Cricetulus griseus: one gene and its partners. The protein of the gene in region 1 interacts with the protein of each later gene in a pairwise test. Links are inferred from orthologs where the notes say so. Each region holds a gene or a part of one and is shown in the gene's direction. Other genes may lie near its edges.

Region 1 (3,625 bases):
GCAGAGATTACCCGACTTCTGCTGGAGGGAATCAGCAGTACCCACGTGAGTATTAAATCATCCTCAAGAAAAGACGCTGAGACAGCACTTAGGCAGCTAGGGAGGAATTTGTGAAGTTAAAGGCACCCTGAGCTGCATACAGACACTGCCTTTAAAGAGAGCTCCTTGGGTCAGTTGTCAGTCAAGGAAAGTTTCAAGTGTGAGATTTTAGAAGGGATCTGAAGAAATACTTAAATTTTCTCTTACATTTCATCACTCCTTTTTTTTCCCATTTCATAAATCCACATGTTGGCTCTTCTTGATAAACAAAGTTTGTCAGTTTATTATTCACCAGTAATTAGTTTTGATGAGCCTGATCAGAATATGAGCATTAATAAGCTTTACAGTAGGATACTACAGGTTACCTCCTTCACAGCAGTGTTATCCTGTGTTCTGCCTTAGCTTGCGCCACTTGAAGAACTTCTGAGAACTGACTGCAACTTTTCCATTCCAGGCCCATCATCTCCGCTGTCTGAATGACTTTGTAGAAGCCCAGATGACTTACTATGCACAGTGTTACCAGTACATGTTAGACCTCCAAAAACAACTGGGAAGGTAGCAATTTCCTTTTCCTAAATGAAAGTCATGATGGGGAGAGTGGAGACTGGAAAGGAGCCTCTGTGGGGAAGCACTAGGCACACAAGCACGAGGACCTAGTAGATCCCAGCACTGTGACAACAAGATGCTGGAAAGAAACAAGAGAAGCCATGCTTCCTGGGCCAGGAACACCAGGGAGGGCATTGGAGAAGAGAAATGAAGAAAAACAAAGCAGACACACACATGAAAATGATGGGGTAAAGCTCATGACTTTGCACAGTAACAAAAAAAGACACAATTTTTTAATAAGTTCAGATTTTTCATGTGAGGCTGGTGGCCTGGCCCACTGAGTAAAGGTTCCTGCTGCCAGGCCTAATGGCCTGAGTTCAAGTCCCAGGACCCACATGATGGACGGAGCTAGCATCTGAAAAGTGTCCTCTGACCTCAAGGTGCCCGCCATCACATACACACGTGCACACACCACAGAAAAATAAAGATATTTAATTAAAAACTGAAAGATTTTTATACATGAGCCAGTAGCGAGAGTGAGAATTGAAAGAGTTAAGGACTTGTTAGCTTGTACACAATTCCTTTTTTTAATTATCAGACTTCAGAGGTTACATTTTTAGCTTTCCTAGCACAAATCTGTTACCAGAGATGAGAAGGTAATTAGGAGAATTGTTTTTAGTGCCATATAAAGAAAATGATAGGTACATTTGAGGCTTAACTTTTCTTTTACTATTGAATATGTTTTGCTTTTGGCTGAAGAAGAAAGAAACAGCTACGTTAATGCTTTGTTACCTTAAAGGTAAGCTGATTCATTAATTTGTTAATTTTGGAATAGTCTGAAGACCTCAAGTCCCTTACATAATTATTTCGAGTACAGTAATGTACTTTAAAGCAAAATAGTATATAAAGTCTGTACTTGAGTCATTTAATTATCAAATATTCATATAATACCTGCCATAGTCCCCAAATATGTTCTTGAGTTACATCAGCAAACAAAACAAGCTAGGATACTTGCCTTGATGGAGCTCTCATTGTAAGGTAATGTTGGAAATAGTATGAATTCTGAGTACTAGCCATGGGTAGACAAGCCATGTGACACATAGATGGAGCAGGGTGTTGTGAGGACACCAGTTACGGCCCAGCTACAAGTTTCCCAGGTGGAGTTATTTTAGTGGAAGTCATCTAGAGGAAGCCCAAGGCAAAGGTGGATGTTATAAACCAGGAGACCAAGGAAAGGGAAGCAGCAAGTTGGTTAATTGACAGTACTTCATTCTAGTGAGAGCATACTTTTTAGTGGAGAAAGGAGTTGTATGCAAGACTGGAGGAGTTAACGGAGTTGCACCATGAATGGCCTTAAAAGTAAACCATAAAAAGAAGTTTGGCATTTAAAAAGAGTCACTACAGTGTTTATTCTGCAAATTTATCCTTCAGATTTAGGCCTACACCAAAGTTAGGTAACATCACAAAGCTAATTTTAGATCTTCAAAATAAACTGTAGCCTATTATTTTTAGATCTGGTAGCCTGCCTAGTTTGCATTGTGCATTCTTAGTGTTTTGTTAGTGGTGTGCATATCCAAGGACAGAACAGTGTAAGCCTTGGCACTGTGTGGTGACACTCTGGAAGGCCAGCACATGAGTCGTGCTTGTTAGCCATTCATATTTCATTCTCTTAAAGCCACGAAGTCCTTGGCACTTGGCCATTCAAACAAAGTTTTATCGCTGGTACTCTAGGTGAAGCACCATACAAAGTAAAACCTGCGCTGTTCTGGTGAAGGCTGCCCACTCTGCCTCTCTGCCAAGAATTGTATGACTGCTAAGGACCAGTGACAGGAGTGGGAGAAATGTTAATAACCCTTTCGTTTATTTCAAGACAGGTTCGATGTCATGCTATATGTCTGAAATCCCAGCACTCAGAGGCTCAGGCAGTAGGCTAAACTGGTCTACATAGTAAAACACTTTATCTTACGTGCAGACCTTAACAATAATAAATAACAAAGCATCCATGTCACACTAACCAACCCAAAAGCTATTTCTGGAGAGTAGAGCCATGTTGTAATAGGATTGTTGTCAGTAGTAGCTGGATAACATGTGTTACTTCTGAAGGACTTAAGCTATACTCAGATCTTTTCCATACCCCTTATACGTGTTATTCATAGACTTTATAGTCCTCACCACTACACACGATGGACACTGTGAGTGCTCAGTGCTCACAGAAGGAAACAGGTGTCCGCACAAAGTCAGTCATCTTTTAATTGACTACAGTGATTGGTGTTGCTTCAAATGTTGAAGTTCTTAGAAAGGTGGGCATCACCTTGCAGAGCTTCCTTTTGATGAGGGTGTGTCAGGGCATTGTGCCGAGGTGGTGACTTAGAGGAGGGCAGAGTCTTCATCTTGTCACAGAGTGTTAAATCTGTGAGACAGCTGGTTGAACAGTGGGTGGAGCTTATTTGTTACATGAGAGACTGAAAGGAATTTGTGACAGCAAGTTGAGGTCGATTTCCAAGTAGTTCTTGTGTTAAGAACAGAACGGCAGCAGCCAGAGGAGAGAGGAAGATCTGCAGTTTGTTTAAATTTAGAAACAACAGTGGGTTTGTGGGCCATGCGATGATAAAGATGCTGGGCGAAGGGAAGAATGACTAGGGAAATCTCCAAGTCTCAATTGAGCGAACCTGAAAAGGGATTACCCTCAAATACAGGCAGCGTCGATAGTAAGAGAGTGAGGGCCACTCTCCTCATTGTTAGTCCTCTTCATCAGTCTGTCAGCCGGGTGCAGAACTGACATTTTGAAGGTAAATGACAGGATATAAAATAATCACCAAGAGACCAGAAATGAATTGCCTAGACCTAATATATAACTGCCAGGCAGCATTGTGGCCCACCTAAGGGGTTCTACTCATAAATGTAAGACAACACAGGTTTTTCTTTTTCTCCTGGCACACTGGATACATTAGTACTGACACTATGGGTGAGTTCCGGGACAGGCTTCAACACAGAAAAGAGAGTTGCTTAGAGAAGCCTGGGGCTGAGGAACATAGGATCC
Region 2 (4,279 bases), on another chromosome or scaffold:
AACATGTGTTTTTAAAAATAAATGTAGGGGCCAGGCATGGTGGTGCACACCTTTAATTCCAGCACTGAATAGTGCTGGGATTTGCAGAGGCAGGCAGATCTCTGTGAGTTCCAGGACAGGCTCCAAAGCTACACAGAGAAACCCTGTCTCGAAAAACAAAAACAAAACAAAACAAAAGTATAAAAGCTAGAGCTAGCCTAGCTGTGGTGGTACACGTCTTTAATCCTAGTACTTGGGAGGCTCAGGCAGGAGGATCTCTGAATTCAAGGCCATCCTGGTCTACAGATTGATGACCAGGACTGTTACACAGAGAAACTCTGTCTGGAAAAAACAAAACAAACAACAACAACAAAAAAAAAAAGAGTCAGGGATAGCATAATGGTACATGCCTATAATTCCAGAATCTGGGAAGCAGAGGAAATAGGATAAAGGAATTTAAAGTCATCCTCAGCTGCTCATGAAGTTCAAGGCCAACCTGGGCTATATGAACTATCTCAAAATTAAATAACTGACATTCATTCAAAAGTTTTGGAATTCAAGCATACAGAGGGTATAAAGTGGTGTTCTTTCCCGCTGCTGACAGTTATCCATTATCTTTTATTACCTGTGTAAGATGATGCACTCATAGGTTAGCACTTAGTATCTTAGTGCTTTTTATATGCATTTCTTAATGTGGGGTTGACCATCTTAACCTCAACTATATTTTATCCCTTGGATTTTGTAATATGGCAATCATCACCGACCTTGATGGACCTAGTTTTAGTATCATGAAAGAGGGTAGTCCATTAAGACATGGAGGACCCACATAGTGAAAAGACAGAACCTACTCTGGCAAGTTGTCCTTTCATCTCCACACCTATACTATAGTGCCCCCTTCCTTCCCTCCCTCCATCCCTTTCTCCATACTAAATAAATGTAGTTTTAAAAAAAAAGAAGGCTAACACAAAATCGATAAATGTATTGAAAGAGGGGGCCAAGGAATAAACAGAAGGTGAAATACAGAGTTAGATTAGGCAATAATTTGACCAAGAAGAAGAGAAAAATTGAGGTGGCTAGAGTTTGGGGATGTGCCTTAAAAAGCAAATTTTCCAAAAGGAATCCTTCAACTGTCTTTTAAACTGTGGAGACGTTTAAACTGCAGAGACTCTGAGCACTGCCGATTACTAGTTGTGTGACCTTGTGCAAGTCACTTAATCTCCCTGGGGACTCATTTTCCTCATCTGTAAAAACAGGACTAATAGTCACTGCTATATAGGGATTAAATGAGGGAACACACGTAACCAACACAGCACCCGGCTTGGCAAAGTATCGTAGAAATGAGAGGTCCTCCATCCCCAGACGGCTACCTTCTGAAAGGACCCTGCACTCTTAAGATTTACAGACTCCAGACTTAAGGGTGGAATGGCCGCAGGCAAGCTTGGGGAGGGGGTGCCGTGGTGCGCAGGCGCTCACACGAAAAAGATACAGGATGCGAGGGGCGGGGCTGCCGCCGACTGGGCTGTTCCAACGATCGCGCGCCGCCCCCGCCGCGCCCCGCGCCCGCCCTTGCTAGCAGGCACCTTCCGCCCCCTGCATTGCTGATGCTGCTGCTGGCAGACATGGACGTGGTGAATCAGGTACGCGCTCCAGCACCGTGGACAGAGCCCGGCGCTTGCGGGAAATCCGGGTGGCTTTAGCCCTACAACCCTGAAAGGTGGTGACCAGAGTAGTCGAGATATGGTCACTGGGGCTGGGGTTGGGGATTTTGCTGCAGGCTAGGGGAGGGGGGAAGGTGGAGAAAAGGAATGCGCTCTTTGCCGCATCGAGGACTGTCCTCACTGCCGCAGAGGGGGCCGCCAGAGCCCACAAGAACTGTTGACCTGGCGGAGAGAAAGACCGGAGCTTGGGTCTAGGAAGAGGGCAAAGGGGCAGGGGAAGGGAGAATGAAAAGAAGACTTGGGCGGTGGGGGGGGGGCTGCAGATGAGCTAGGAAATAGAGCGACAGAAGGTGTGGGGGCGGGGTGGGGGAGGGATGGCACCCGCCCCTCCCAGAGATTTCACCCCGGTAGATGACCACCCTTTCCTCGGGAGCAGATCTAGAGGGACGATCCAATTTTGCCTCTCCAAAGCCCCCAGCCTTCTCATTCCCAGCGCATATCCAATGAATCCATGCCCCAGCTCTCTCCCACCTTAATCATTCCGGACCATCTCCGCCATCGCCCTCTTCTTCATCACCTCAGAATCTGTCTCCTCCCTAACCAGTAGCGACCCCTCCCCACCCGCATCTCCTTAGACACAACCACCATCATCTGACTCACCTTTACCGCTGCAGACCTCTTCCCTATGATGTTGTGACTCACCCTCATCTCTCAATGCCCCCTCCCCCACTCTAATGAACCCCATCTTCTTCCACTCAACCTTTTTCCCTATCTGAGTCACCTTTAAGCAGTTCAGACCTCCCTTCTCTAACTAGTCTGGACCCCATCTATTTTCTATACCCAGCCTCCTCTGTCATGTGACTCATCACCTCACACTTCACCACTCCTGAACCCTGGGGGTTTCTCTGAGACCCTGGTGTTTACTCCTTTCCCCAAAGTATCATTTTCTCCTCCTCACTCCCTCTCCACATGTCGCCCACTCCCAGGAGTCACATGCCCTATCCCCAGGGATCATTGCCTGGCAGCCTGACCCCTCACCTCCATCTCTATTCCCCACAACCCTTCCCCCTCCCTGCTGTTTTTCTCCTCAGCTGGTGGCTGGGGGTCAGTTCCGGGTGGTCAAGGAGCCCCTTGGCTTCGTGAAGGTGCTGCAGTGGGTGAGTGTGGTCTGGGGTGTGGGGTGTGGGGTGGGGAAATGAAAGTAGAGGGGGTGACAATGGGGTCCAGAAGAGCACGGATGTAGGAGGGACAGGAAGCCAGAAAAGGACTACAGTGGAAGGAGATGAGGGAATTAGGCTGCAGAGTAAGGTCCCAGGGGTTTAAGGACAGGGAACAGATAGGCTATGACGTCACATAAGACCGAGGGTACCCCTGTTGTGGAGTGACAGATTGTGACGTCCTACCTCTTCTCTTGAAGTAAAGGATGGGGGGGTGGGAAGTGGAGCCTGAAGCGACTGCTGAGAGAGAAAGAGGGAGAGAGACAGAGACAGAGAGGGAGGGGGAGATGCAAAGCAGAAAAATGCAGACAGTGAAGGAAACAGAGAATGAGAGGCAGGGAATGGTAGAGACAGTGATGGAAATGCTGAGAAACGAGAGCCAGAGAACTGGGTGTGAAGCAGGAAAATGTGGTAGGGGACAGAAAGACATACACAGATAAAGAGACACCCAAAAGAAAAAAACAGAAAGCAACGCACAGAAATAGGCACAAGGGAGACAGAGAACCATAGAGCCCTTGTGAGAGGCAGAACAGACAAGCAGACCAAGAAACAAGAGTGCAGAGGCATATACTCAGAGAGTTTAAAAAAAAAAGATGATGGAGGGACATGCATAGAAACAGAGAGATACTGAGAGAGGGAGGTGCAAAAGACAGAGATACAGTGAGTGACAGAAGAGGAGGAAAGGGAGAGGAGAGGAGTGAAAAAGAAGGGGGAGAGAAGAGGGAGAGGGGAGGAGAAGCCATAACACCTAGAGGTAAAAACAGAGACACGGGGAAAGAGAAACAGCCACACCCCTGTAATCAGCTTGTGCTAGGACCCGGTGAGCCCTGATTAGGGGAGTGGGGGTGGGAACCTCTCCATCTGCTGCTGTCTCTGCTGCCCCCCTCAATCTGTCCAGAGGAGGGCACTCCCTCCCACATGCATACAGGCTCACTACAGCCATCCACCTTCCTGCTACCCAAGGTCTTTGCCATCTTCGCCTTTGCTACATGTGGCAGCTACAACGGAGAGCTTCGGCTGAGCGTCGAGTGTGCCAACAAGACGGAGAGTGCCCTCAACATCGAAGTTGAATTTGAGTACCCCTTCAGGTGTGCCTCTGCCCTGGTATCCTGAGGTCTGGGATGAGGCAGGGGCAGGGTGAGGGTGGGTCTGAGCAATCCTTTCCATGACCTTTGCAGAGCTCACACCTTTGAGGCCACAGCCACTGGGATCAATGCCCGTGCACTGAACACCTGCTGTGTAACTGGCACTGCTCTAGATCTCTATGACAATGTGGTGTGCAAGACAGACACAGGGTGTCACCCTCTCTAGCTATATTTTGGCAAAAGAGAGGAATAGACGAAAGGAAATAAATAAGATTCATACGCAAATGACAGAGCTGGGGCTGTAGCACAGTTGTAGGGGGCTTGTACAGCATTGGCAAGG
Region 3 (4,162 bases), on another chromosome or scaffold:
GACGGTGAGGTTTGCAGGAGGTGGGGGAAATAGCTTGACCCTGGGATCTAAGGACCAAGATGTGGCGGCAAGCTGGGTGCATATCAGGGTACCCCAGATAACCAGGCTGTGCACCTGTCTTCCCTGGCCTCTTTCCAGAAAACCCTCAACAATGACCTGGGCCCCCACTGGAGGGACAAGCTAGAGTACTTTGAGGAGCGGCCCTTTGCAGCTGCCTCCATAGGGCAGGTGCACCTGGCCCGCATGAAGGGTGGCCGTGAAGTGGCCATGAAGATCCAGGTAGATGGCCCTGTGTGGTGTGTGCCTGCCCTCATGGGATTTCAGAGGGTGGGGCCTTTCCCATTTCTCCTGAGATACCATCTTTCTGTTCTTAGCACCTGGCGCTGGGCAAGTGTTTGCTAGGTGAGGGGTTGGGGGTTGGGGCTGTTTCCCAGCAGTCTTGGTGTAGGATGGCCTTTGGGGCCTATGCTGGAACCTGGGGCTTTTTTTGTGTGGTTAGAGTAAGGAGACATGGAGAGCAGGGTGGTGAGATGGTCAGGTCATGGCACCCTTGTTTTAGTCTTGGCTACAAGTTGCTGGGACGCTAATAGGCAGGACAGCCTGCCCTGCTGCCTCCCTAGTTACCCCCCTTCCCTCTTCTCAGTACCCTGGTGTGGCCCAGAGCATTAACAGCGATGTCAACAACCTCATGGCTGTGCTGAACATGAGTAACATGCTTCCAGAAGGTCAGGCTGGGCTGCAGGCCCGAGATGGACGGGTGGGGTTATGGGAATGCAGGGGAAAGCCCTGCAGAGCCCTCATCCCACCTGATGCCCCTTTCTGGCATAGGCCTGTTCCCTGAGCACCTGATTGATGTGCTGAGGAGGGAGCTTGTCCTTGAGTGTGACTACCAACGGGAAGCTGCCTATGCCAAGAAGTTCAGGTGTGGCTCTTAGGGGTCCTCAGGAGGCTGAGGGGCACCAGAGTGGGCAGGCTCCTCTGTTTCTAAGGCTGGATGGCCCTGGGCCAGGTGGTAGCCACATCCTCCCAACTGCAGAGTAGGTTTCCCCCAGAGGACTCTCCATTTGGGGGGCTGTGGAGGGTCCAGACTGGATGTGAGCCCCCTCTTCACACAGGGAGCTTCTGAAGGATCACCCCTTCTTCTATGTGCCTGAGATTGTGGATGAGCTATGCAGTCCCCATGTGCTGACCACCGAGCTAATAACAGGCTTCCCCCTGGACCAGGCAGAAGGGTTGAGCCAGGAAGTCCGGAATGAGGTACCCTCAAGCTGTGCTGAGCTGTTGTGCTGGGTACCTAAATGGTGTGAACAGACCCTAAGCCCTTCCTGGGGAGGTGGGACAAGGGGGTGATGACTGACTGCATCCTTCTTTTGGGATGGGCAAAGACTTTGGAGGTCACAAGCTGCCTGACCCAGGTTCCTACCCTGTCCTCAGATCTGCTACAACATTTTGGTGCTGTGCCTAAGGGAGCTGTTTGAGTTCCATGTCATGCAGACTGACCCCAACTGGTCCAATTTTTTTTATGACCCTCAGCAGCACAAGGTAAGCCCCAGCTGAACCCCATATGAAGGTCTCAGCAGAGACTTTCGAGCTGAGACTCTGCGGTGGTCCTCCTGGCTGCTCTATGCTCACAAGAAGCATAGGGCAGAACCTCAGTGTTGTATCTCCATCTGCAGGTGGCTCTCCTGGACTTTGGGGCAACTCGGGAATATGACAGATCCTTCACTGACCTCTACATCCAGGTAAGACCAGTGTATTTCAGAGGCCAAGAGCCAATTCTGGGGATTGAAAGTGTGGGAGAGCCTCCTGGAGCTGGCCAAAGCCTGTCAGGTCCACCTAGCTGGCTGTGGATCCCAGTTCAAGGGTTGGCAGGCATACAAGAGGGTTGTGATAGGGCAGGAGCCTCTCTGTTCTCTCCAGGTCATCCGGGCTGCTGCTGACCAGGACAGGGAGGCAGTGCTGAAGAAGTCCATAGAGATGAAATTCCTCACTGGCTATGAGGTCAAGGTAAGTGAACCACCCAGGCTCAGCTCTCTCTCTGTAGGCATGGCTGTCTTCCCTTGGTACCTAAGTACCAGCTGCTCTTGGAGCCCTCCTTATGCCCAGCATAGTGAAAACTCAGCACTCTGTAGGAAGGGTGTAGAGTGGAGCAGACGGTTTGGCTTAGGGTATACCACTTGGTGCCACCTGCCCATCCTGGTGGCAAGGAGGCAGGGGGTGGCTTGCTTGGGTGGGCAGAGTACCCCAGGCCTTTAGAGCCTCTTCACCTAGCACCTAGCAGGGAGCTGACCTGGGTTCACACTGGCTGCTAGCATGGGTGTGCACACCAAGCTGACCTCCTGCCTCCTGCGTGCAGCTGGCTTCATTTGTCCCCCCGTGGGTGCCCCTTGTCCCTCCAGTGCTCTGCTGGTGACAGTTACTTCTCTTGTATCTGGCAGGTGACTACTGCTGTGTGCTGGGAACTGGGGAGGCTCCCACAGCACTCCTCACAAGAGTGGGATCTGTAGTTTAACTTTGTAAAGACAGGAGTGAATGCTGAGGGAGCGAAGGCCTCTGCACTGTGTCTGCCTGGCTTTTGAGGGTTGGAGTTGTACCTAATACCATTGTTTGATTAAAACCAAAACCATCCTGTCACTGCTTCTTTCATGCCCTCCAGACCTGAGCAGTTGTTTCTAAGATTAGAAACTGTGGTGGGATCTGGGGCTGCAGCCTTGTGACCCGCTCACCTCTGCCCTTCGTCTCAATGTAGGCCATGGAGGATGCCCATCTGGATGCCATCCTCATCCTGGGGGAAGCCTTTGCTTCAGAAGAGCCTTTTGACTTTGGCACCCAGAGCACCACTGAGAAGATCCATAACCTGATCCCCGTCATGCTGAAGCACCGCCTCATCCCTCCACCAGAGGAGACCTACTCCCTACACCGTAAGATGGGCGGCTCTTTCCTCATCTGCTCCAAGCTGAAGGCCCGCTTCCCCTGCAAGACCATGTTTGAGGAAGCCTACAGTAACTACTGCAGGATGAAGTCCGGGCTGCAGTAGACTAGGCATGGGCCAGGCTAATGAGGGGCCATGCCTTCCCTCAGGCTCAGCCAAGCAGAGGGAGGGTGTTGAGCGGAAGCACCTCCATGAGTAGGAAGTGAGCAGTGCAGAGACCCCACTATTGCTTCTGTACTGTCTAGACAAAAAGGCAGGCTTCTTGTGCCATCTCCTCCCTGCTGTGGATGTCCACCAGGAACACGGAGCAAAGAAGACTAAAGCCGGCCTAGCTACCTTTGGGGTCTAGTTGGCCATGTAGAATGAAGCTTTGTGTGTTTCTGGATGAGCGTGTGTCCTTGCCCATTGCCACCCCAGCCGGTGGCCTGGAGCTAGAAGCTCAGGACAGTAGGGCAGCCACCCTAGCTGGGTCTCAGCATGGACAACTGATCCTTTTTGAGAGCAAAGCAGGGCTGTCACTGGAGGAGCAGCGGGCTCCAGCATGTTCCAGGAGAGGTAGTTACTACCCCGCACCGGGGATCAACACAGGCTCTGTCTGTCTTATCATCAGATGTTCACACCCATACGTTCAATAAAGAAGTGTGTTGGGGACTACCACTTCCTATGTGTTCTGTGAGTCCTGGGAATGAGGTGGCCTCACGTATGACTTGGGTGGTGGTCTTTACCTGTAAAGGTCTCTCATCTAGAATTTACATTGCTCTTGGTGGGGACAGAATGTGACAACTCAGGCAGACATTAAGAATTTCTTTGCATTTGTGTCTCTGACCTTAAGGCTTCACTGGCACTGGGGATTGAGCCTGATGTCTTGCAGATGTGAAGCCCTTTTACTTTTGAGACAGGATTTCAACAAGATATTCAGGCAGGCCTTAAACTTGTAACCCTCCTGCTCAGCCTGCCAAGTAATTAGGACCACAAGTCTGAGCCACCAGGCTTCTTAGCCATTTTAGAGAAAACAAGCTTGTAGATTGTGGCTACAGAACAGCAGGCACTAGAGGTGGCATTAGGGCTTGGACAGGAACAGTGTGCTCTTAAAGGTCATGCTAAATCTGACTAGGGGCCTGGCTAACTACCACCCTGCACCAAACAGCTCACTATGCCTTTTAAGAAGTTTTACTGGTACCTGGTGCTCTTGTCCATGTGTCACAGACCATGGAAAGTTTGCCAAGTCCT
Region 4 (4,154 bases), on another chromosome or scaffold:
CGATGGCTCCAGCTCTGGACTTCACTTCCTATCCCCCTACCCTCGGATGCCCTCACCGCGAGTCCAATCAGCCATCTCGCCCTCCAGAGCCCCACTCTGGGACACCGCAGCACAGCGACGGACGTGGCACCGGCTCCTGGAAGAGGCTTCCGGTTCCGCCTCAGGTATAATAACTTCCGGGAGAAGGGACTGGAGCGGAAGAAACAAAAATGAAGTTGTTCCATGGAATGTAAATAAGGGAAGGGCGGGCCGCCTGCGTTCGTGCCCGCGGATTGGCCAGCAATAGTAGTCCCGAGATGTGGGTGGTACCCGGAGCATGAGCTCGGGCACAAACCGGGAGCTGAGGCTGGAAACCGGCTCGGTAAAGCTGCCGGATGCCTCGGGCGCTGCGGAAGCCCGAGTGTGAGAACTACAAGATGCGGAGGACGGACAGAACTGAAGGAGACTGGCGAAGGAGACGCCAGGGCCTGACACCGAGCAGGCGCAGGGCACGCGCCGGTTAGCTCAGCGGGTGGCAGATCATCCGCTGGAGCATGGCTTGTGTGTCACCGCGAGGTACACTCTCACCGACCATGCCTCCAGCCACGCGGAGTGCGGACCCGGCTCCCCAGCCACCCACCCTCTACCCAGCGTTGGAACGCCTCTCACACTGACGGGCCGCGGCTGGCCGCCCCTCCATTGCCCCTCCCATGGGAGTGGCTTTCTCCGGGTGGTTTTCGCTTCCCTCTGACCCTTCCTCATACACTGGGACTTTCTTTTTCCTTTGATGGCCACATTGTTTTTGATGGTTCGGTCTTTCGTTTGTTTTAAGGACGGTCTCACTATGTATCCCTGTCTGGCCTAGAACTCACAGATCTGCCTGCTTCTGCTTCTCGGGTGCTGGGATAAAGGCGTGCGCCACCTCGCCGAGCTATCCGCTTTATTTTGACCACCCGAGTCGTTGTGTTTGTCTTTCCCGCGGAGCATGAGCTTCAGGGTCTGGACCGTGGGGCTCCAGCTGACTAAGCGACCAGAAGATAGTGCTCCCTTCATCTCTCTCCCTGTTCCCTGACCGGTGCGTAAGGAGGGCGGTCCATGCGGGGGCCGAGACCCCACCTCCACGCCCCACGCCTGCTAGAGAGGAGGGAGAAAAGGGGGGCGAGGGGATGCTACTTGGCTAGCTAGCGCCGCTGTTCCAAGACGAGCCGCTCGGCGATCGCGGCCAGGTGGGCTCCACCTTAAACCGGAGGCCCGCCCCACGCCTGTGCACACCCTTTCTGCTCGGCTGTGCTCCCGGCATCCCTCACGCGTGGACTCGGGGCTTCCGGACCTGGGCGGAGCCCGCGGGTTTGGCCGATTGCGTCTTCCCAGCCCAAGCCTTCCAGCACCCGGTGCCAGGGGCCATGGAGCCCCGGGCAGTTGCGGATGCTTTGGAGACGGGAGAGGAAGACACAGTGACAGAAGCTCTGCAGTCGTTCAACCGGGAGGTGAGAGGCACCCGGCTGCTGAGGAAATTTCTTGGAGAGAGGAAGCAGTGGTGTGCGCGCAGCGCGGCCGGGGTGTGCGTGCGAGTGTGGCAGGGAGCACGGCCTTGGGAGGCGGGCTGGGCCTCGGGGGTTTCAGTGGTGGGGCAGGTGTAGGGGAAGCGAGGGTGGTGGGCCCTGCCTTGCGTTCAGAGCAATGGCTGCTGCCTCAGAGGTAAAAGCAGACCGGCTGCCCTGACTCGAGGAGCACAGGTCCTACCTGCGCGTGGACTTGAGCCTACTGGGTCTCCTCCCTGCAGCACTCCCAGAGCTTCACCTTCGATGATGCCCAACAGGAGGACAGGAAGGTAGGTGCCATCCCAAGGGGCTCCTAGGGCAGGCATGGGCTGCCCCAAGAAGAGGGACTGGTGGATCCACTTTTGTCCCTCCCCACAGAGACTCGCAAAGCTGCTGGTCTCCTTACTGGAGCAGGGCTTGTCACCGTCACACCGTGTCACCTGGCTGCAGACTATCCGAATCCTAACCCGAGACCGCAGCTGCCTGGACTCATTTGCCAGCCGCCAGAGCCTCCATGCACTAGCCTGCTATGCTGACATCACCATCTCAGAGGAGCCCATCCCACAGCCCCCAGACATGGATGTCTTACTCGAGTCTCTCAAATGCCTGTGCAATCTCGTGCTCAGCAGCCCCGCAGCGCAGATGCTAGCAGCAGAGGCTCGCCTGGTGGTGAGGCTAGTGGAGCGTGTGGGACTGTACCGCAAAAGGAGCTATCCCCACGAAGTCCAGTTCTTTGACCTGAGGCTCCTTTTCCTGCTAACTGCCCTTCGCACTGATGTGCGCCAGCAACTGTTTCAGGAGCTGCACGGTGTGCGCCTGCTGACTGAGGCGCTGGAACTGACGCTGGGGGTGGGCCCCAAAGAAAAACCCCCGGTGGTACTTCCGGCCCAAGAGACAGAGCGGGCCATGGAGATCCTCAAAGTGCTCTTTAACATCACCTTTGACTCTGTCAAGAGGGAGGTGGATGAGGTAAGTTGTAGCCTGAAGTCATGGGTGGGACTCAGCTCAGCTGGGACAGTTTTGTGGTTTTGCTTCCTTCCTGCCTCAACTTCCTGGGTGCCAGACATGGCAAGGATAATGGGACATCAAGGCAGGGAATCCAAGGAAGGTTTCTGAGCTGTGTTGTGGGGGTGTGTTTGTGGGAAGGCTTTAGGTGGCCAAAGGTCACCAACTGTGCTGTGGACAAAGCCAAGTGATCAGCTCCATGTGGCCCTGGAGCACTGGAACAGGGGACTCCTCCTTACAGGAGCCATTTTCTGTCTTTGGTTAGGAAGATGCTGCCCTTTACCGGTACCTGGGGACCCTTCTGCGGCACTGTGTGATGGTTGCTGCTGCTGGAGACCGCACAGAGGAGTTCCACGGGTAAGGGGCAGGACTTACCGTGTGTTGACAGTGGGGAGAGTACTTAGGCATGGGTACCCTAGTCCTCAGCCCTAGGTGTCAGTAGAAGCACCAGGTCCCACCGTAAGAGTATGACTGTCAGAGGGATGGGAAACCAGAGTGTTCCCAGAGAGCCCCAGGAACTCAGAATATGACTAGGGGAAGAGCTAAGGTGGAAACAATGGTGGCCCTGGCATTGTAAGGCAATGGTGTTCCTGCTGGTGGTGACCAATAAGTACCTCACCTGACTTGGTATCTCAGCTCAGACAGAATGGGACAGGCAGAAGTTTGTCTCCCCACCAAACTTGAATGGAGTACTACCTGCCCTTGCCTCTAGTCCTCGGTGCTGTCCTCAGTCCCCCATATCATGTATACCCCAGGAGAGGAGCCGGGGATTACTTCTGTGCTAGAGTTACTCTGTCAAGGCCTCTGTCTGTCCCCAGCCACACGGTGAATCTCCTGGGAAACTTGCCCCTCAAATGTTTGGATGTCCTTCTCGCCCTGGAGCTACACGAAGGATCCTTAGAGTTTATGGGAGTCAATATGGAAGTGATCAGTGCCCTTCTTGCCTTCCTAGAGAAGCGTCTGCACCAGGTAGGTGGAGGACCTGCTATGTTGTGGCTTCCATTTCTGCACCAGGGAGAGAGGTCAGCTTGAAGGTATAACTTGGACAGTTTCTCTGGTTGCTCTGTGGCCCCACCAGAGATAGCTATTCAGTCAGACCCTCTCCGAAGCTTGTGGATACAGCTTGTGTGTGGACCTCAATGCTGCTGATTCCCAAAGAAAAGCAGGCTTCTCAGGGTCTGCCAAGGTGAATGTTGTCTTTTAGGTCTCTGCAGTTCCCTGTTAAGTGATTCTCAGAAGCCTTTGGTTCCTGCTTCCCTAATGTTCCCATACATTGGCAGCCATAGGTGACAGCATTAGTTGTCCTGCATCTTTTGTTTTTTGTTTTTTATTTTTTATTTTGGTTTTTCAAGACAGGTTTTCTCTGTGTAGCCCTGGCTGTCGTGGAACTCACTCTGCAGATCAGGCTGACCTCAAACTCAGAGATCAGCCTGTCTCTGCCTCCCAAGTACTAGGATTAAAGGAATGACCCCAACCCCCACCTCCACCCCCACCCCCGTTGTCCCTCTGCATCTTAAGGAGACATAACCAAGGGTTACCTGACACCTACAGTTATAATATGGGACCAGAGAGCTGGTGATCTAGCCTATCCTGTGGAGCTCACACAGATGAAAGCCATAGATAGAGGTT
Region 5 (3,625 bases), on another chromosome or scaffold:
AATTTAGACCCTTCCATAATCATTTGTCATTTATTCTGTACATCTTGAAGGGTGTTTTGTCTCTTTCTTATATGTATGGAATTACATGCCACTGTGCCCTCCTTTGTCTAGAATCAAGAAGTGGTGGACTTTGAGAAGCTGGATGACTACGCTTCTGCCTTTCAAGGTCATGATGTTGGATTCTGTTGCCTGGGCACCACCAGGAGGAAAGCTGGAGCGGTGAGCAAGAAATGCCCTTGTCTCTTCTCACTGGCCAGTGCTATCAAGGATCTCTTCCTTCCTTTCTTTCAAAGATTTATTTTATTTCTCTTACATGTTTGCTTGTTTGTGTGTGTGTGTGTGTGTGTGTGTGTTTGAGTGTTATGGCCATAAGAGACTTCAGGTGCCTGCAGACTCCAGAAAAGGGCATCTGAATTACAGGTGTTGGTGAGCTACCTGGCATGGGTACCGGGAACTGACTTTGAGGTCCTAACTGCTGAGCCATCTTTGCAGCCTGGAGGATTCCTTTCTTGCTTTTTCTTGGGTCATACTGCAGTGCTTAAACGTAGAATGTGTTTAAGATTCCATCTATATTATACATGGGGCATTGCAGATAAAGTTGTCTTTGGAATAACCTCTGAGTTCAGTCCTGAATGCCAGTTACATCACAGATATTTGCATGACCCTGCCTATGGAGATACTACAACCATCACCACATCCCCTGAGTAAGGATAGCAGCCCACAGTCTCTGGGCAAAAGTAGTTGGCTCATATGTGGGTGGTAAGCTTTATGTTTCTTTCCATAATGAATGTTTTAGGCTTGAAGCATTTTCTCTCAATCATTTGCTTCAACCTGCTTGCAAGCCATCCTTTAAACTTGGGAACTAGATCATCAGAACCCAGAGGCACGATTCAGTCAGCCCCCGTGATGACTTAGCCGTCAGCAGTGATTCAGCCCAGGGATGACTCAGCCCTCACTGACGCAAAACTGCTTTAATACACATTTTATTTTCTCTTTAATGGTGTGCTAAATTGAGTCAGCCCCTATCCAGGAGCTATAGTTTACTGCATAGTTAAAAGTCAAGGTATATAATACAGATCCTGGGCAAACATTTTTACATCTTATTCAGTTTAGATCTTGAGTATTGTTTATTTCTCTGACAGGATTTGCTTGCTGGAGTCCACATATCTATTAAACATGGAGGGGATTGATTCTGCCATAATGATTGTGCTAGCCACTTTTTCATCACTGTGACAAAATACTTGACAAAAGCAACCTGAGGCAGGAGAGGTTTATTTTGGCTCACAGTGTGAGGGGTCAGTCCATCTAGGAGGGGAGGGCCCGGTGGTAGGAACCCCAGGCAGCTGGTCCTCTTATGGCCTCAGTCAGGAAACAGAAAGATGATTCAAGAGCCCGGTTCATCTTCATCTTTCATTCAGTTTCGGACCCCAGTTGACAGGATGGTGCTACCCACACGTAGATTGTGTCTTCCCACCCCAGTTAACTAAATATAGGTTTGCTTCCATGTTTGGTCGAGTTGACAAAATTAACCTTTATAGTGATTTACACTAGCTTTTTTTTTGTCTTTAAGATTTTATTTTTATTTATTTATTTTGTGTGTGTGTGTGTGTGTTGTGTGCTTTACAGGTACCTATGAAGGCCAGGGGTATGGATCTATCTGGAACTGGAGTTAGAGGCAGTTGTGAGCCTCGTGGTATGTGGAATTGAACTCAGGTCCTCTGAAAATGCAGTATCTGCTCCGAGCCACCTCACCAGCCCCACTTATAGCAGTATTTATAAATCAGTAGATTGATGTGGTTCTGAACTGCGGTTTCTATGAGCAGAGTAGTGGCTTGGTTGTGTCTCTCTGGGCTTCTTGTTGCTACAAAAGGTAATTCTAGAAGTGGTTTCAGTTGAGACGGATGTTTGTGTCCTGTGCAGTTTTGCACTTCCACCCTGGGAGCTCAGGGCTGGGAACTGGATTGCAGAAAAGTTCTGCTTTCCCAGGAATTGAATTTCTTCCTCTAGAAGGGGTCCTTTCCTGCTCAGCTAGTGCCGTCCTTTCTGCCCTAGGTCGGTGTAAGAAGTGTGTCCTCCAAAAGCAATGAAGAGCCTTTGTGTCCCGCACACTGCAGCTTTCAGCTTCAGGCACAAGTCTGACTTTGGCGATGACTCAGCAAAGTGAACTGCTGCATTAAGCATAGAACAAGACAAAATAGTGTGTTGGGGAAATGCTAAATGTCGCATTGAAGCTGTAGTTCTAACCAGAGGAAAATAGTTTTTTAATCTGAGTAGCTCCTACCTCTTAAACTACCCTTTTGTTTGTCTTTAAAATCAGTTTGAAAAGATAAAGGTGTTAATGAACACAAAAGGGCAAAGAGCAGCCAGGTAAATAGTCTGAGAAATGAGTTAGTAGTCAAAGGACCACGAGGATGTGCAGGAAGTGAGCTGATGCTGCCTCCAGAAGTGTGTTTTCCAAGCACTGTAAGTTCTAATAATCTTGCTTTAGCTTGCACATGGGCCAAGAGAAGGCTGAGACACCCTTGGAAACCAAATATACCTTGAAGAACAAAAGTCAAAGACACTGCTGGGCAAATGCAGTTCCCTTGTGTGCAGTATAAGAAGGCTTTGGGTACTGAGTGCGTAGTTTCACCCCTTCCTGTAGCTCTAGTTTGCAGTGAACTCTAGCAGCCCAGGTTTGCGGATACTGTCAAATGCTTGATGCTGTTAAAGTGACTAATGCAGCTGTTGCAATGTTTACTAGACATCTGTAGGGCCTCGTGGCTTCTGGTTGCTGTAATACACTCTGATAATCCAGCCTGGGAGCTGAATGCCACTTGGCATCAAGTTTTGTATGGCCTATGACCAACAGATGTCTTTAAATGGCTGAAAATTTTATGCCACTTGAAAATGCAGTAAGTTCAACTTTTAGTATTCATAAATAAGGTTTGGTTAGAACATACACAGGTTCATTACATTTCATATTTTGTATGGCTACTTTTGTGCAATAGCAGATCAGTGTAGGTTTTTTTTTTTTAATCTTTCATCTATTTCTCTATTTTTTTTCCAACTTTTTTTATTTGAATTAGAAACAGGATTGTTTTACATGACAATCCCAGTTCTCTTCTCCCACCTGTCCTCCCCTACCGCCCCCCACAAACTAAAACCCTATCTATCACATATCCTTTCTGCTCCCACAGGATGGTGAGGCCTTCCATGGGGGGTCATCAGTGTCTATTGTATCCTTTGGGATAGGGCCTAGGCCCACCCCCATGTGTCTTGGCTCAGGGAGTATTCCTCTATGTGGAATGGGCTCCAAAAGTCCACACCTATGCTAGGGATAAGTACTGAACTACAGGAGGTTCCGTAGATTTCTTAGGTTTCCTCACAGAAACCCATTTTCCTGGGGTCTGGATCAGTCCCATGCTGGTATTCCAGCTTTTAGTCTGGGGAGCAAGAGTTCCCGGATGTTCAGGTCAACTGTTTCTGTGGGTTTCACCAGCCTGGTCTGGACCCCTGTGCTCTTCACTCGTCCTTCTCTGCATCTGGGTTCCAGTTCAGTTCGGTGATTAGTTGTGGGTTAGTGTAGGTGTTAACAGGTCTTCACAGCCAGCATATTTGTACCCACTCCTCTACAGGGTAAGAT
Region 6 (4,259 bases), on another chromosome or scaffold:
AAACCCTTCTTTGTTTAAAGTCCTTATTGCTGATTTCACAAAGACAGGAAATATTTAAGATGGTAAACTGGGGAAATGATTGAAATTCTAGACAATATTCCCACATTCTTACAGGCTTATCTTTGATCTCCTAAGAATTGGTGGCTAAAGCCTATTGTGGTGCTGTTTTCTTCTTCCTCTTGTTGTCTGATATCACATTCTTCCCCTAGATGCAGCACAATTCTTTTTGTATTACAGCTCAGAAGAAAACTAGTTATTATGCAATATATATTCAGGCATTTGAGTTAGGCTCAAGGATAGCCACTGAGAGCTCCCCTTTTGGAACCAATTTCCCATTGCTATTACTAACCTTAAAACTATGTTTTTGCTGGGGATCTGAGAATGCTGAGTTTGTCCTACTACATTACAGAAGGCAATTTCTCAACTGCCAGGGCTGAGGGGAGAAGATAGGCACTAAATGGCAGAATAAAGGTTGGTACCAATAAGTGGACATAAATAAATTCCTGCCCAGAAAATCAACCAGAGTAAAAACCCGGTTTATTGGCTCCAAGAAAAGGAGCAATAGTGCCCAGCTTTCAGGCTCAATCTTTCTGTACAAATTTCGACAAGCCCAAGGTTCATAGAGGAGCCCATCCAAGCACCTTCTCTCCTGGGGCAGGCGATGGCTAGCTGCCTGATGGCGAGTCTCTGGGTTGTTCTGCAGTAACACCTGGCACGGCCGAGGCAGCCTCGTAGTCCGCGATGCGGCGCTGGACAAGGGCGGGCATGAGGTGGACGTAAGCGGCCATGAGGCGGTGGTTAGAATGGATGAGCTTCCCAGCACAGCTGTGTAGACAGGCCTCCTGGAAGGAAGACAGAGGTAAGCAGAGACCAAAAGGGGTCCTGTCAAGCCCTCCTCTCCGGGGCCCCAGCCTAGGGGTGAGGTCATGGGAGACCGAGATGCAAACGGGGGGTGGGAGGTGGACACGTCACGTTGTCAACCTCTGGGGTCCCCACAGTCCCCACCTCCTCAGCGTCCAGAGCTCGGTGGTGCAGGCTGGGCACACAGCGCTGGAAGCACAGTTCTGTCATCCGATTGTAGACCAACAGGAAATCTCGCAACTAAGAGAAAAGCGGATCAAGGCTTCACCACCGCTGAGGGTTCCTGGCGTGCGCAGTGCAGCCTGCCTTCCCCACTGGGGGTTCTTGCATGTACCCCAGAAAACAAACCGCACGTCTAACCCCGAGAACAACTTAGCTCTTACTCACGTTTCTTAGTTGCTGCTGCTGCTGCTCCATCACGCTCGGGGCACGCAGCCCACTTTACTTCCTCCCTGGGGGCGCGGAGTCACCCCGGAAGTAAATTCTCCCTAGTCACCAAGAGCTTCAAGGCGTGGTTCCAGTATCGCCCAGCCCATGTCTGCTAACGTCACCTCCGCCCTTTTGCTCTGCGACGTGGCCGGCTTCTTCTGCCCAGAGGGCACGTCACTTCCGCCGAATCTCTGACCTGCTGCTAAGATCGCGACGGGAACTGGAACCCGAGGTCCCCGCGCGGTCCGGCCCTCGCGCCCTGAGGGGAAGAGTGGCCCGGCCCAGGTGAGAAGGACATACTTGTACGAAAGGAAGTTGAATGCACGAACCTGTGCGGAGGGCAAGATGCCCTGAGCCCTTGGCAAGGATGAGGACACACCTGATGCCCAGGTGTGTGGGGGGGTGGTGGAGGGGACCTCTCACATCTGGAAGGCATAAACTGACTTTGGAAGGGACTGCCTGTGTCCTGGGAAAGAAGCTTTTAACTGACACCGGGAACACACCAGCTGCTTCAACTAAGGCCTGGTGGGGAGGGCCTGAGGGAGGCAGGTGCATGAGATGGAGAAAGGAGAGACCATTTGAAGGAAGAGGGGAAGGAACATCAAAGGATTTGAAAGACCAGGGATTGCAGAGCATGCTTGAGTGGCAAGTGAGCATCCGAGTCTAGGAAAGGGTTTTGCCTTCTGGTAAACATGCCTATGCAGGGCCAAGTTCCCAAAGAGCACAGACATTCCCCTCTGGCCCTCACTGCTGTAATCCCATTGCCTCAGTATCTGACGCATAGTAGGCACTCACTAAGTGTTTGTTGAGTGACTGAATGTGTAAAGGTTACTAAAGGTGAGGTTGGGGTTTGTGAGAAGACACCCAAGGCTTTGGTATACATGCATCTGTAGAAATAATGTACTTGGAAGAGAAGAAATACACATCTCCAGGAAAGTAGGGGCTGATCTCCAGGGACACCCAAGTCCTAACAGACAACCCCTGAAACCTATTAGAACACAGGGAAGGCCTCCTTGTTCTGGAGTGCTGGCCAGTTTCCAGAATTGTCTGTGTTGGGCTTTACAGCGTGCTGGGGTGGAGACCTTGACTCCAGTACCTTCCCTAGCCATGACGGACGGGATCCTAGGGAAGGCAGCCACAATGGAGATCCCAATCCATGGAAATGGTGAAGCTGGGCAGCTTCCTGAAGACGATGGGCTGGAGCAGGTGCTTCTGTTTGATTCTTCTAATTGTTTCAATTTAGCAATCCTGACTCTTGAATGTTTCGCTTTTCCCATCCCAATAGACTTCATTTAGTTAGTCCTCCTTATAGTTTTCAAGTCGTCATTATGATTCTATACAGACTTTACTATATACTGTCTCTATCCCCAAAATATTTCAGCCACCCCCATGTTCCTGAAGTGCCCCCTCTTCTCTGATCTATAGGACCTCCAGCAGGTGATGGTGTCAGGACCCAACCTCAATGAAACTAGCATTGTGTCTGGTGGCTATGGGGGCTCTGGTGATGGACTCATCCCCACAGGTATGAATGATAAGAGACAGGAGGCTTGAGTGGGAGGGAGACTAGGAGGCACATAGAACACATAGGAAAGCGTGAATCATGGATTGGAGAAACTTGAGAACTGCTAGTGTGAAATCCATAGACTGTCCAATCCCAGATCAGCTCTCTGAGCTCATCATCTGCTTCCCACTTGCCATTTAGATTCTAGCTTTCTCAATTGTCTTTTCTTTCCCTGGTGCCACCACCTGAGCCAAGTTAAGACCTATAAGTCACAAGAGCTCTGCAGCTTAAGGCTGATTTACAACTTTGTGAAGCTTCTCAGAGTTTTATAAGAGTCTTATACTGACTAAAATTCTACTTGGAAATACAAACCAGCTTCCCTGTTTTCTGTGCCCACCAGCTTTGACCCTTCCAGTCCCACTCATCATGTTTGCTTCTGTTTCTTCCTTCCCTGTCCACCCAACAACACTCCTACACGACCCCAGGAATGCCAAATACATACATTGAGTTGCTTTGGTTTTCGGGACCTAAGTCCCCGTTCCCCCTAATGAGCAGAAGAATTCAGTTATCTAGATTTCCTCTTTTAGAGAGGTCATTTCATGTGCTGGGAGGGAAGGAAGTGAGGTCACAGAAGTATCTGATTGTATGTGAGAGAAATTGGTGTTAGAGAACTTGATCCTTTAGGGTCTGGCCGCCATCCATCTCACAGCACCTCACCTTCTGGCCCTGGTGATGAGGTGGCCCGGGGCATCGCCGGAGAGAAGTTTGACATCGTCAAGAAATGGGGCATCAACACATATAAGGTAAGAGTCGAGTGCCTCTTCCCAGAAACTCTCCATGGGTACCTTTTCCTTTTCCCCAGATCTTAATACATAGTCTTTTGCTATGACTAAGAGAATGGGGGTGTTGGAGTAGTTACTTGTCGGGGTTGGGGTGGAGTTTAGATTTCTGACCTCCCACCCACTTCCCAATCAGTGCACAAAGCAGCTGTTATCAGAGAGATTTGGCCGAGGCTCCCGGACTGTGGATCTGGAGCTAGAGCTGCAGATTGAGTTGCTGCGTGAGACGAAGCGCAAGTATGAAAGTGTCCTTCAGCTGGGCCGGGCACTGACAGCCCACCTCTACAGCCTGTTGCAGACCCAGCATGCACTAGGGGATGCCTTTGCTGACCTCAGCCAGAAGTCCCCAGAGCTTCAGGTGCCTCAGCCAAAACAAAGAGGGTGGGGGTACTGGGCCCTGGCCCTTCCAGGCAGGCATTCCTCAGCCTCCCTCCCTCCCTCCTGCAGCCCCCAGGGAGAACCCCTCTGGGGTGTGCCCAGTCCTGCCCCCAGCATCACTCACCTATGGAGGCAGCCTAAGGGTTTGTACAGAGGTCCAAAAGTTGGAGGGGTTGTGGGAGAGGGCGCTCTGGTGCCTCACAAGTAACCCTTCTCCATATCATCAAGAATGCCTTTGGTGCTTGGCCTAA
Region 7 (3,625 bases), on another chromosome or scaffold:
AGTGCTGCGATTAAGGGCATGTGCCACCAACACCCGGCACAAATAAGTAAATCTTTTATTTTAGTTTTTCTTTTTTTATTTTATGTTTGTGTTTTGTCTGCATGTATGTCTGTGTACCTTGTGTGCTTGGTGCCAGTGGAGGTCAGAAGAGGACATTGGACTCCTGGGAACTGAAGTGACAGGTGGTTGTGAGCTACTGTGTGGGTGCTGGTAATTGAATTAAGGTCTTCTGGAAGAGCAGCAAGAGCTCTTAGCTACTGAACAATCTCTCCTGCCCCATAAATAAATAAATTTCAATCAAGAAAATGCCCTACAGACTTGCATGAAAGAAGCAAAAGTCAAAGTCAGATTCTTTAAAAAAAAAAAAAAATACAGTTAGGTGTGGTGTCACACTCCTTTAAACCCAGCACTAGGGCGGCAGAGGCAGATCTCTGAGACCAATCTGGTCTACCGAGTTCCAGGATAGCCAGGGCTACACACTAAAACTTGAAAAAAAAAAAAAGTCTGTAAAAAAATGTTGTCACCTACTGTTGAGCAGAACATCTTGTTTTCTAGTGTTTTCAATGTGTATTTAGAAGATTTTAGAATTTGTGCAGTTGACAAACTTATATGTGATTAAGATGTTTTTCTTTCTGTTCTATGCTTTTAACCAAGCTGGTGTTGAACTCACAGATGTCTGCCTGCCTCTGCCTCCTGAGTGCTGGTATTAAAGATGTGAACCACCATGCCTGGTAAGAATGGTTTGCTTTATGTGGTATCTTTTGAGATAATCGTGCAGATAGGAGGATGTGCCTAATGTCAAGAAAAAATGGTGACTCCAGGAACTTGAAGTGTGTCTAGTATGCTAGGTGTGTGAAAGAATGCACTCCTTCCTCTCTTTGTATATATGGCCATCTGTCTGTGAGAGGATCAGGGATGGGATTAAAGGTGATTTTTGTTTTGCTGATTCATTACTGGGGCTGGATGACTAACATGTATTCCATGTATGTAATCTTTAGCATTCCTTGAGTTGAATGGAAAGTAACACTTGCTATATTTACTTCCTTCATGCAAAAAACAAAACAAAACAAAACAAAAAAAAAAACCCAAAAAACCCAAAATAGAAACTTTATTAGATTGGATTGGTTTCTTTGAAGTAGGGCTTCCTGCTGTAGAAGATAATATTTTCACAAGGGAAACCAGAACCTGTGGTTTGGCTGCCTTCACTGGTGTTTCTTGTACTCTAGCAGCACAGGTGGTATTGAGTTTGCATCTCAGGTGCTCAAGAAGTAGCTGTTCTCCGTCCAATGCCCAGCTCATTATCATAGGCTTTTAGAGATATTTCTAATTTCTAGTGTTCTCCTGCCTTCTTTTGGCCACCAATTTCTTTCATTCTTGCTTCTTCCCTAGTAGAGTAACAACTTACTTGACACTTTTTGACTTCATTTTTGTCTCTGACAGATATCAACCTGAATTCTCCTAACAAAGGTGTGCTGTCTGATTTCATGACTGATGTCCCTGTTGGCCCAGGTGTGGCCTCCCGAGCTCAAGCTGTAGAGGGCCTGACAGAGGTGGAGGAAGAAGAGCTACGGGCTGAGCTTGCTAAGGTGCCTTGGTTTTATTTCCTATTCTGGTGTGATGATGAGACCCTTTGGGTTATGCAGAGAGTAGAACATGGCTTAACCCTGTGACAGAGCTGTTGCTGGGGTGTTACCTGCATTCTGTGTCTACTGGGCTATCTCTTTTCATGTGCCTATTTGTAAAGTGTAGACTTGAATCACCTGTTGAAGGCAGGGCCTGATCTCATCTCACCACTCTGTCTGGAAATACTAGGTGCCCCATGAAGAGGATGTCTGCACAATAATGTGTGCTTTAGTTTGTTTTAGGTTGGCCTCTAATTCATAGTTCTCCTGCCTCTTCCAAGTGCTAGGATCACAGGCAAGTGGCACCATGTTTACTTTTTTTTTCCTTCCTTCCTTCCTTCCTTCCTTCCTTCCTTCCTTCCTTCCTTCCTTCTTTCCTTCCTTCCTTCCTTCTTCCCAAGACAAAGTTTTCTGTTTAACAGCTCTGGCTGTACTGGAACTTACTCCCTAGGTTGGCCTCAAATTCAGAGATCTGACAGCCTCTGTCTCCTGAGCACTGGGATTAAAGGTGTGCTCAACCACCATCCACTCTTTTTTGTTTTGTTTTTTGTTTTTTAGAGACAGGGTTTCTCTGTGGCTTTGGAGGCTTTCCTGGAACTAGCTCTTGTAGACCAGGCTGGTCTCGAATTCACAGAGATCCGCCTGCCTCTACCTCTGGAGTGCTGGGATTAAAAGCATGAGCCACCACTGCCCAGTGCTCTTTTTTTTTTATCTTTATGATTAGGGATTTCACCCCATATAGGGTCAAGCAATTGTCTCCTGGGACTGTAGTACTGTACCACTTGGCCTGACTGAGAAGAAATTATTTTTCAGTGTAGCTATTTTACTATGACTAAAACTATTGGGGAAATATTCCATAGTGGGAACCCTTCAAAATTATCAAGAATCTTTGTTAGCCAGGCAGGAGTAGCACATTCCTTTAATCCCAGCATTTGGGATCTCTTCTCTGATCTCTGTGAGTTTGAGGTGAGCCTGGTCTACAAATTGAGTTACACAGAGAACCTCTGTCTCAAAAAATGTCCCCCCAGTCTTTTAGTTTGCCATAAGAACAAAGGACAAGTGGGCGGTAGTGTTACATGCCTTTAATCCCTGCACTCAGGAGGTAGAGGCAGGTGGATCTCTGAGTTCGAGGCCAGCCTGGTCTACAGATTGAGTTCTGAAGGTCAGGGGTACACAAAGCAACCTGTCTCCAAATTTGGTGGGGGGGTGAGAGAAGAGGGGCGTGGAGAATGAATGAGAATGAATATTACTCTTCTGTTGAGTAACTAGCTCTCACCAAGGCTTGGAGTTGACCTCTGGAACAACAGTTGCCATTAGAAAGCTTCTCTGTCCCCTAAGTCTCTGTCCCTCTGTCAATTCTGCTTCCTTTTTTTTTACTGTACAGGGGATTCCTCAGTGGGTCCTCACTTCTAGCAGATTCAGTTGCTATATCTAAGCCAGGCCCAGAACCCATTGGAAAAGAGACTTGTGTCCTAAAACTCATGTCCAGTCTTATGGAGAGCTCACTTCCCTTAAGCTCCTGAGGCTTAAGGGAAATGGGAAAAGTGGGTTTACAGTCCTAGAGAACTACTGACTAGAATGGTGGTAGAGTTTTCCAGAAGCTGGGGTGCTGATGCCAGATAAAAGCAGAACAGCTGCCATTGTGGGTACTATTTTTAAGATAGTGTTTCTGTAAGTGAAAACCTCTAAGAAAGTCTCATTATGGGCTGGAGAGATAGCTCAGTGGTTAAGAGCGCTCACTGCTATTCCAGAGGATCTGAGTTCAATTCCCAGCACCCACATGGCAGCTCACAGCTGTCTGTAACTCCAGGTCCAACAGATCTGGCATCCTCACACAGATATATATGCAGGCAAAACATCAACACACATAAAATAAAAATAAGTTATTTAAAAGAAAAAAGTCTCATTACAACCTATGTAAAGATGTTTGCTGGTCACTTCTTGTAGTAGTCATAGCCTCTCACGTCAACTGTATTTTTAATTTTTATTTTTTTATGCTGGGG

Evidence for each region.
Region 2: the proteins of Sh3glb1 (region 1) and Syp interact in binary tests that used the Homo sapiens proteins (3 or more experiments, as listed by UniProt). The link is inferred for Cricetulus griseus from reciprocal best matches to the Homo sapiens genes SH3GLB1 and SYP.
Region 3: the proteins of Sh3glb1 (region 1) and Coq8a interact in binary tests that used the Homo sapiens proteins (3 or more experiments, as listed by UniProt). The link is inferred for Cricetulus griseus from reciprocal best matches to the Homo sapiens genes SH3GLB1 and COQ8A.
Region 4: the proteins of Sh3glb1 (region 1) and Ric8a interact in binary tests that used the Homo sapiens proteins (3 or more experiments, as listed by UniProt). The link is inferred for Cricetulus griseus from reciprocal best matches to the Homo sapiens genes SH3GLB1 and RIC8A.
Region 5: the proteins of Sh3glb1 (region 1) and Htatip2 interact in binary tests that used the Homo sapiens proteins (3 or more experiments, as listed by UniProt). The link is inferred for Cricetulus griseus from reciprocal best matches to the Homo sapiens genes SH3GLB1 and HTATIP2.
Region 6: the proteins of Sh3glb1 (region 1) and Arfip2 interact in binary tests that used the Homo sapiens proteins (3 or more experiments, as listed by UniProt). The link is inferred for Cricetulus griseus from reciprocal best matches to the Homo sapiens genes SH3GLB1 and ARFIP2.
Region 7: the proteins of Sh3glb1 (region 1) and Tpd52l2 interact in binary tests that used the Homo sapiens proteins (3 or more experiments, as listed by UniProt). The two-hybrid records come from large-scale screens. The link is inferred for Cricetulus griseus from reciprocal best matches to the Homo sapiens genes SH3GLB1 and TPD52L2.

The regions. Positions count from the first base shown.
Region 1 is NW_023276806.1:14,444,354-14,447,978, forward strand, and holds part of Sh3glb1 (endophilin-B1), read left to right. Parts: coding exon 1-45; intron 46-493; coding exon 494-594; intron 595-3,625. UniProt on the Homo sapiens protein: May be required for normal outer mitochondrial membrane dynamics. Required for coatomer-mediated retrograde transport in certain cells. May recruit other proteins to membranes with high curvature. May promote membrane fusion.
Region 2 is NC_048604.1:114,106,515-114,110,793, forward strand, and holds the start of Syp (synaptophysin), read left to right. Parts: upstream 1-1,401; coding exon 1,402-1,411; intron 1,412-1,467; coding exon 1,468-1,616; intron 1,617-2,545; coding exon 2,546-2,794; intron 2,795-3,817; coding exon 3,818-3,942; intron 3,943-4,279.
Region 3 is NC_048598.1:14,081,205-14,085,366, forward strand, and holds the end of Coq8a (atypical kinase COQ8A, mitochondrial), read left to right. Parts: coding exon 1-4; intron 5-138; coding exon 139-279; intron 280-643; coding exon 644-725; intron 726-828; coding exon 829-922; intron 923-1,115; coding exon 1,116-1,257; intron 1,258-1,434; coding exon 1,435-1,542; intron 1,543-1,676; coding exon 1,677-1,742; intron 1,743-1,920; coding exon 1,921-2,007; intron 2,008-2,749; coding exon 2,750-3,037; 3' UTR 3,038-3,589; downstream 3,590-4,162. UniProt on the Homo sapiens protein: Atypical kinase involved in the biosynthesis of coenzyme Q, also named ubiquinone, an essential lipid-soluble electron transporter for aerobic cellular respiration.
Region 4 is NC_048596.1:60,341,383-60,345,536, reverse strand, and holds the start of Ric8a (synembryn-A), read left to right. Parts: upstream 1-1,329; 5' UTR 1,330-1,382; coding exon 1,383-1,466; intron 1,467-1,762; coding exon 1,763-1,810; intron 1,811-1,898; coding exon 1,899-2,489; intron 2,490-2,790; coding exon 2,791-2,882; intron 2,883-3,343; coding exon 3,344-3,494; intron 3,495-4,154. Other genes in the region: Bet1l (BET1-like protein), read right to left, coding at 57-318.
Region 5 is NC_048596.1:146,801,877-146,805,501, forward strand, and holds part of Htatip2 (oxidoreductase HTATIP2), read left to right. Parts: intron 1-111; coding exon 112-219; intron 220-3,625. UniProt on the Homo sapiens protein: Represses translation by preventing reactivation of elongation factor eEF1A. May also inhibit nuclear import by competing with nuclear import substrates for binding to a subset of nuclear transport receptors.
Region 6 is NC_048596.1:94,063,175-94,067,433, forward strand, and holds the start of Arfip2 (arfaptin-2), read left to right. Parts: upstream 1-1,425; 5' UTR 1,426-1,575; exon of another isoform or gene 1,576-1,680; intron 1,681-2,355; 5' UTR 2,356-2,397; coding exon 2,398-2,496; intron 2,497-2,715; coding exon 2,716-2,812; intron 2,813-3,475; coding exon 3,476-3,594; intron 3,595-3,766; coding exon 3,767-3,988; intron 3,989-4,259. Other genes in the region: Timm10b (mitochondrial import inner membrane translocase subunit Tim10 B), read right to left, coding at 666-842, 1,006-1,101, 1,249-1,278. UniProt on the Homo sapiens protein: Plays a role in constitutive metalloproteinase (MMP) secretion from the trans Golgi network. May have important functions during vesicle biogenesis at certain cargo subdomains, which could be predominantly utilized by secreted MMPs, such as MMP7 and MMP2.
Region 7 is NC_048599.1:395,738-399,362, reverse strand, and holds part of Tpd52l2 (tumor protein D54), read left to right. Parts: intron 1-1,440; coding exon 1,441-1,586; intron 1,587-3,625.